Solanum lycopersicum: one gene and its partner. The protein of the gene in region 1 interacts with the protein of each later gene in a pairwise test. Links are inferred from orthologs where the notes say so. Each region holds a gene or a part of one and is shown in the gene's direction. Other genes may lie near its edges.

Evidence for each region. The genes of interacting proteins can lie anywhere in the genome.
Region 2: the proteins of B3 domain-containing transcription repressor VAL2 (region 1) and replication factor C subunit 2 interact in binary tests that used the Arabidopsis thaliana proteins (3 or more experiments, as listed by UniProt). The link is inferred for Solanum lycopersicum from reciprocal best matches to the Arabidopsis thaliana genes HSL1 and EMB1968.

What each region holds. Positions count from the first base shown.
Region 1 is NC_090809.1:57,733,545-57,737,758, forward strand, and holds the start of B3 domain-containing transcription repressor VAL2, read left to right. Parts: upstream 1-1,312; 5' UTR 1,313-2,186; coding exon of another isoform or gene 2,187-2,208; coding exon 2,209-2,299; intron 2,300-4,173; exon of another isoform or gene 4,174-4,198; coding exon of another isoform or gene 4,199-4,214. UniProt on the Arabidopsis thaliana protein: Transcriptional repressor of gene expression involved in embryonic pathways, such as LEC1, ABI3, and FUS3. Repressor of the sugar-inducible genes involved in the seed maturation program in seedlings.
Region 2 is NC_090810.1:6,258,885-6,262,543, forward strand, and holds part of replication factor C subunit 2, read left to right. Parts: intron 1-140; coding exon 141-210; intron 211-275; coding exon 276-349; intron 350-3,659. UniProt on the Arabidopsis thaliana protein: May be involved in DNA replication and thus regulate cell proliferation.

The sequences.
Region 1 (4,214 bases):
AAAATCTCTCTATGTTTGTTACATATAGGGAAAAAAAAAAGTAATGTCAGTCACTCACCCCTCATCACCTAATTTTTTAGTTAATGGTTTTTGGTTAAAGATTTGATAAGCATGATGTCATTGTAGTATTAGGATATAGCACGCGTAGAAGAAGTAATCAATTAGGGGATTGAATAAACTAATTTTGATTTGTTTACTTATCTGTTTAATTACGCAATGATGATTAATCTTAGTTCTAATCTTATCGTACACACTAAGCCAAAAGAACCATACTTGAAAAGCAAAGTGGATTTTTGTCCTTTTGATTAGGACTCCCACTTCCTAAATGAGCCATTTGTTTTATTGCACCGTTTTTTATTTTATTTTATATGAGTTAGTTCGAATCGGTAGAAAATTTTTAAATGAAAAGAAAACTTTTGAAATTTATTTGAGATAAGTGATATTTCTTGTGTTTAAAAAAAAAAGATTTTATTTTCTTCTTAATCTGTTTAAAAAAGAATGTTTCGTTTTTTTTTTTACAATAATTTAACTTTAACTTTCCATGTGACATATTTAAGACCACAAGATTAAAGAACATTTTGATATATTTGACATAACTTTAATTTAGAACCACAAGATTAACAAGTCTTCTTTCTTTTCTTAAATTTCATTATAAGTCAAACTAGGTCATCCTTTTCGTTAATATCCTTTTTTTAACGAAGAGAGTAGATATTTGTGTTGTTATAAGTTATTTTATAAAAAGTAAAATAAATATTTTAATGTTAAATTGTTACTTGCTATATAAACATGTCATTCTTGTTTGAGGTAACTAAAAAGAAAAATAAATCAAATTTAGAGAAAAATGTACAAAACACTTTTTTTATTAAAAAACTCGTTTAAGACCCTTTTGTAGAGCTTTCATTAAAAAACCCGTTTAAGACCCCTTTGTAAAGCTTTCAAATTTCGTACTTACTTTTTAAGGGGAGTTATTTTCTAATCGATTTTAAATTGTGAAAAGTTGATTATTACTATTTTTTCAAGTTATTTTCTTTCACACACAAAACTTCTCTACACTAATAACAACAACAACGGAGATTCTAGAAAAGATATAATGTATGCATGTATCATCTTTTACCTAAAAATAGAGATATTATTATGGATTAAAGTACATGAAATATTATACAAACAAGATAACTAATGGTAACAAGACAATGATTATAATTGAATCATGTGATGACCAAAAATATAAGATAATAAGTAATAAAAATCAAAGAACTAGAAATTACGAGTGCAACACTAACTACTAATATGAACAGATGATAAAACAACACACGATGACCTTCTAATTTTCTATCCTAATTTGTGTCCTCCCTAATCTTTCTACGTAAGATCCTAAGCATCTATTTCCAGCCCTCATCAACACACGTCCATTCATACACATTCATTTCTACTATTTTCTCGTTTTATCTCTGTTTATATAAATTATCTATAGCCAATCACTCACACATCCACACTAGAACATCAAAACATATCACTTTCAAATGTTCAAAATTATCTCGATCTTTAACTTCCGCACCAAAGCCACTTCCAAATGTACCTATTTTAATCCTATCTCTTCTAGAACAACGAGAGAGGTTACAACATAGTTGGTCTTAACTATTACTTTGCATTTAGTCACAAAACTTGTATGTTTTTGATCAAATTATATAAACATAAGCTTTCTTTTCAATGTTCAAAAGAAAAGCTGATATGATAAAGTGAAAAAGAAATTGAGCAGAGAGAGACGTTAGTGGAAGAAGAACTGAAAGAGAAAGGCGGGCGACCTTTGCTGACCCTTCAAGTCTCTCCCTCCCTGCATGTCCCCTTTTCCATTTTTGAACTGTTTTACACTTTACGCTTCTCTCTCTCTCCCAATTCCACCGTTCCGGTACCGGAAATTCAACAAACTTCCCTAATATTTCTCTATCACAAATTTTAAAACAGACCCACAAACACTGCAGCTTACTAGCTTTAGTTTTATGTCTTTAACTTTTGTTTTCAAGATTCTTGCTTCACACTTATTATTCAACTATTTCATACTTGGGTTTTTCTAAAGACTTCATTTTTAGCTTTAAAAAAAAACTTTTTTTTTTTTGGGTTTTGCGTATGGAGTATTAAGAGGAAGATTATGCTGTATTAGGGCTTGATTAGAGGTAAGGATTTTAGGAATGGAGTCGAAGATTTGCATGAATGGACTGTGTGGGACAACTTCTTCAATTGAGTGGAAAAAAGGGTGGCCTTTGCGATCTGGTGAATTTGCGACCCTCTGTGATAAGTGCGGGTAATTCAATTCAGATCTCACTCTCTCTTTATACTTAATTTATATATGTTTGTAAATTCAGTTTTGTTGTTCTTTTTGTTTTGTAGAAACTGGTTTGCCTAGTGCTCAACTCTGTTTGATCATTTTATATGATAACATTACCATTTAGAATGTCAAACAGTGATTTTTCATTGTAAAAATGTTCTGACTTATATACTCTTTGTATAGGTTTTGAATTTGCTTATTTTATTCGAGAAAAGATTAAGGAATCAATGTCCTACTAATTGAGATGGTTTGAAATTTGTTTATTGAGCTGATTGTTCTTTTTTGAAACGGAAGAAGTATTTACAATCTGAACAGTTTCTGTGTTTATGTTAAGGTTACTGTGTTGGTGAATACTGTAGCAGCTCGGAGAATTATCCTTTTTGTTTTGCTGAAAGATATTTGCTAAATCATGTTCTTTTATCCGACTGTTCTTTAATTCGACTAAACAATTACTTTACCTTTTCAAATTAGAGATTGCATATTCAATTTGAGAGAATTAATTCTATTGGGATAATATGTTCCTAGTCCAGTTCATGCACCCTAGTAATGGTTGCTCAAACTGACTCTAGTTCTGGAAAGATTAAAGATCCTGCAAGATCAAAATGTGGGAAAGATAATCCTTCTTCTTTCTGTTTCACTTGTTGTCTTTTAGGAAGTCAGTGCAGATTAACCTGCTTACGTTCTCCTAAGGATTTGTATTATCTGTGATTCTTGCTGTGTCATAGGGAGGTTTTTCTTGGCTGAGATCAGGAGCATGGGCTTATGATCTAAGTGAGGCCGTTGAAGCGAGCCAGAATTTTTAATAAGGGGGTTCAGAATCTGAAGAAATAAACACATGAAGTAGCCGAAGGGGGTTCGACATCTATCGTATATACCTAAAAATTTATTTTAACCATGTAACAATAATATAATTTTCCGCCGAAGGGGGTTCGGATGAATCCCTAGTGATAAGGTGGCTCCGCCCCTGTGTTGAAGTGATGGCATAACTTTTTTTTTCTTTCCAGAATTGTCTATTTGGTTCCATGTTAAGTTACTGTGGAGCAACTTTGTCTTTTTTTGCTCTTTTTGGCCTTTATATGAAATAGAGATTGCATGCAGTGATTTCACTTACAGTAAATAATACAGTGCTGATGGAATGAAACTATTTTATTATTAATATTTGTTATTTTTTTCCCTTTTGTTTTGTTTTGTTTGTTTGTTTTACTTCTGTTATTTTTCTGTTTATCTTTTGTTTCTTGGTCAGGATAGATGACTGGTAGTTAAATTCATGATAAACTTAGATCTTTTGCAATCTACCGCCTGCATTGCCGAAAGGAAAAACATTCACTTTAACTTTGGAATAAAATGTAGCTAATGACAGTTTCACCATAAACTGAAAACTGAAACTAATGCAGAGTCTTAGGGCATCCAGTTTGAGAAATTATATCTGGAACGCTTCTAGTGTAGACACATTTGCATAAAACTTATTGATGCCAAAGCAATTCCTGGTATAGTCGATGTAAGCACAAGTTGAATCGGACACCACTATTATTAAAAAAATAATTAAAAAGATTCAATGGCGATATATTGGAATATGGTGGTAACCAATTAGAATTGAAGACCACGTAGTTGTAGAGTTGTATCACTGACTCAGGAGCCTGCCCATTCATTAATGAGCAAGATTCTCTTCAGTATTGAGTGGCAAAATCACAAACCACTGCCATTAGTGGGTTGAACGGAAACTTCTGAGCCCTTTTTTCTTAAAAAGTTAAGATGGTTCGAGGACCAACTTGCGCTAGCATATGTTAACTAATCCATCAGCACAGATATCACATAATTCTCGGTAATTCTGACCATCATGACTTAGGCAGACTGCAGATGGGATGAATTGACCTAATGCACCTACTGGGAG
Region 2 (3,659 bases), on another chromosome or scaffold:
CATCCCGCACCCGCACCAGAGTCGCGTCTAGACGGGTTCGCCTGCATATATGAAGAGTCCGCACAACATATGTTCTTAATGCATTTTAAGCCTCTCTTTTACTATAATGTTTAACAACATATCTTCCTTACTCATTTCAGTGGTTATCCTTGCCCACCTTTTAAGATCATAATCCTTGATGAAGCAGATTCAATGACTCAAGATGCTCAAGTGAGTTGCCTTTCTCGTTTTTACTAATAAACTACATAAATTTGATCTAACACCTGGATTTGCAGAATGCCTTGCGACGAACTATGGAGACATATTCAAAAGTTACAAGATTCTTCTTCATTTGTAATTACATCAGCAGGTTTATTATCATTCTGCCTTTTTTTCTAATTTATCTTATTTCGATTTCCTTTGCTCTTCGTAGAGGTTTGTTTGTAAATAACAACACATTAACTGATTGTTTTCCTACGTAAATTGATTATTCTGCCCTTGGAAATCAGCTTTACTGTTTCTGTTGAACTCGTTTTTGTTGATGGAAGAAAATCAAATATAAAGAATGGTTGTATATTCTACGTTCTGCAACTGTAGAATTGGCGTCGGGATTGCCAAACTCTTAAATAATTCTGGAATCTGATTTAAGCCTTCTTGTCAGTTCCATATAACAAGTAGATCGGAGTTTTATCTTTAAATGATCCTTGAATAGTTGTGGTGAAACTCAATTAAGTTTTGCTCTTTTAAGTTTTTGCTATTTGCCCCCCTTTTCTCTTCTAGGTATAGGACAGCTGAAACAAGCTCAGTGATGGAAGTCGATTATGTGGCTAATTGGAAGTAGTGCTTCATTTCAGACTTATCTGTCCATGAAATCAACCTTGTATTTTCACTTGAAATGCATGTCGCCTATTTACAACATTTAATGAAATTATTTTGCAAACAAAACTTGGCTGATCCTTTTTTTGGTTTATTTGTTTGGGGCATCCTGGTGTGAGAATTACTGGAGACATTAAATAGTTTAACTATGATATGAATATTGGTGAATAAGTGCCAATTTACATGTGCAATTGGTTTCATCCACTCTCTTTGGTTTACTTATTTGTGCCTTTGGCTTGCTTTTTATTCAGTTTGATCTCTTTTAAGCTGTTTGAATGGTATGCGTGAAAATATTTTGGAGTAGGAACAAAATTGTTTCACTCTAAAGATATGATAATTTTACCATGATGAATCTGAGATATTAAGGGCTAGTTATGACATTGTTTTCTATTCTATGGTATTATAGAGCACCATTATGTGTAGGAGAGGTAAACTCATTAATCATAGGTAGTGCAACCAAAGACCACTTTTTGGGCTTGAGTCGGTGAGTATTTTGGAGATGATTTTGTACACTCGACCAATTAGGCTAATGGGTCTGAGGTCAGTGAGCTCCTTAGCTCCCATTTTTTTTGAAATTAAAGCCAGATAGGTAGAGTTGAAGCTTTTCTCAAAGACGCACCTCTCATGAAAGTTCTTGACTGTGGCGATCACATCTTTTCCAATAACCTCCCAACAATGGGTATAGAAGGCCATGGTAAAACCATCAGGAGCAGGAGCTTTGTCACTAGCACAAAGTTTGACACTATCCTTATCTCTTGATCCTCAAATTCCTTCTAAAGCATGAAATTATCTTCAGCATTAATTTTGTGATTCATCCTGCACCCACCTGAAGGTCTCCAAGTTTCTGATTCTGAATAAGTTCTAACAGAAAACTACAATTTCCTTCTTTATGTCTTTTGGATTCCTGAATACTTCACCCCCCACATTTAGCTCATCAATATTGTTGTATCTTCTGTGTAAGTTGGTGCGCGAGTTGGCAGTTTTGTGGGAGAACTTGGTGTTGTTGTTGCCCTGTTTTAGCCAACTAACCCTTGATCTCTGTCTCCATGCAATCTCCAAACTCTTAACAGAAGCTTAGCTTTTGAGTGGATCTCCTCTTCCCCAAGAGCTCTTTGATCCTGGACTTCCTCAAATTCAGCAAATTGATTGACTATGTTCTCTTTCTGTAATGCCAAATTTCCTTGTGCTGATTTGCTACACTCTCTCAACTCAATTTTAAGTGTTTTCAGCTGAAAGGCTAAGATGAAATCTGGCCTTCCTTCACAGTCAAAGGACCTCCACCATTCCTTGATTCTATCTAAAAAACCCTCAGTCTGCAGCCACCAATTTTCGAATTTAAAATAGGACCTCACAGGCTACCGAAACCATCAGTCTGCAGCCACTAATTTTCGAATTTAAAATAGGACCTCACAGGCTACCAATTCCCACATTGTATTAGAATTGGTGAGTGATCAGAAGTGACCTTTTGCAGGATTGATTGCTTGTTATTTTTGAAGCCTCCATTCCACTCATCAGACACTAGAAACCTATCTAGCCTAGCTGCAATTTCATGTTCCCCCATGTGTAACTTCTTACTGCTAATTGAAGGTCCAACAAGCTCATATCTTCAATGAAATCAGGGAGGTCAGACATCAATTTTGTGATTCTTGAACAATTTTTCTTCTCAGAGAGGAATCTAACTGTGTTGAGATCCCCACAAACTACCCAAGGGCCGTTGAACAGGCCTCTAGCTGACCCAACTTCCCACAAATCTTCTTCTCTTTCTTCTCTACTATTTGGAGCATAGATGCCAATAAGTACTGGTGAAGTCAAGACTTTTACCTATGAACTTGCAGGATATAGAGCATGCTTCCACACTGCTAACCTGCCCTGTCCAAACCTTCCCGTCCCAAATAATTAGGATGTCCCCGCTAGTACCACGAGCTTCAAGTTGACAAAATTCCACTCCTCAGTTTGCCCATAAATCTTTAATAATGTTTCTCACATCCCCTATAATCTTGGTCTCTTGGAAGCAATAAACATCAGCCTTCCACCCTTGGATAGATTCTTGATTACACACCTCTTATTTGCCTGATTCAGGCTTCTCCATTCCATGAAATTATCTTGACTGTCATTTATCACTAGCTAATGTTTAACCCTCCCTGCTTCTGGTACCATTATTTCTGAAGTTGCTCCCACATCCTAGGCTCTTAAGTTCTTTTGAGCCTTTAACTACTGAAGTTGAATTCAAGTTCTTCCCACCCAGTCAGTGTTATTCTGTCTCATACTATTGATCTTCATAAACAACCTCGTAGCTTCCTCTTTGCATCCCTTAGTGTTTACTCCGAAATCCTTTGCTAATTTTATGTTCTGATAGATCCAAATCGGAACGTCAAGCTCTGAATCATCTTCTTCCTCTGGACTACGTGGTTTAAAGGAACTACATCTTCAATTATTGTCAAAGAGTAGTTCTCTTCACCTCTCTGTGAATCAAGTTTTTGAAAGCAATAGTTTTCCAAATGCAGAATGAGAATCAGGAAGGTCTGGGCACTTGTTTGACACTTCCACTGTTTCTCTATCAACATTATCTTCTGTATCAGCTTCCTTCTCCATCGCATTTTCTTCCAGTTCTGTTCCTTCTATTTTTTTTGCACCTTGAAGCTGATGGAGGAATAGAAGTGGCTTCAAGTTCCGCAGTGATTGGCTCATTTAGCTGAGAGAAGGAGTTTTCAATGAGAGGCCCACTTAAAATGAATTGTGCCAGCAGATCCGGGCCCATTTTTTCGCCCTATCTTACATATTTGGATTTCTTAGGAATCGAATTG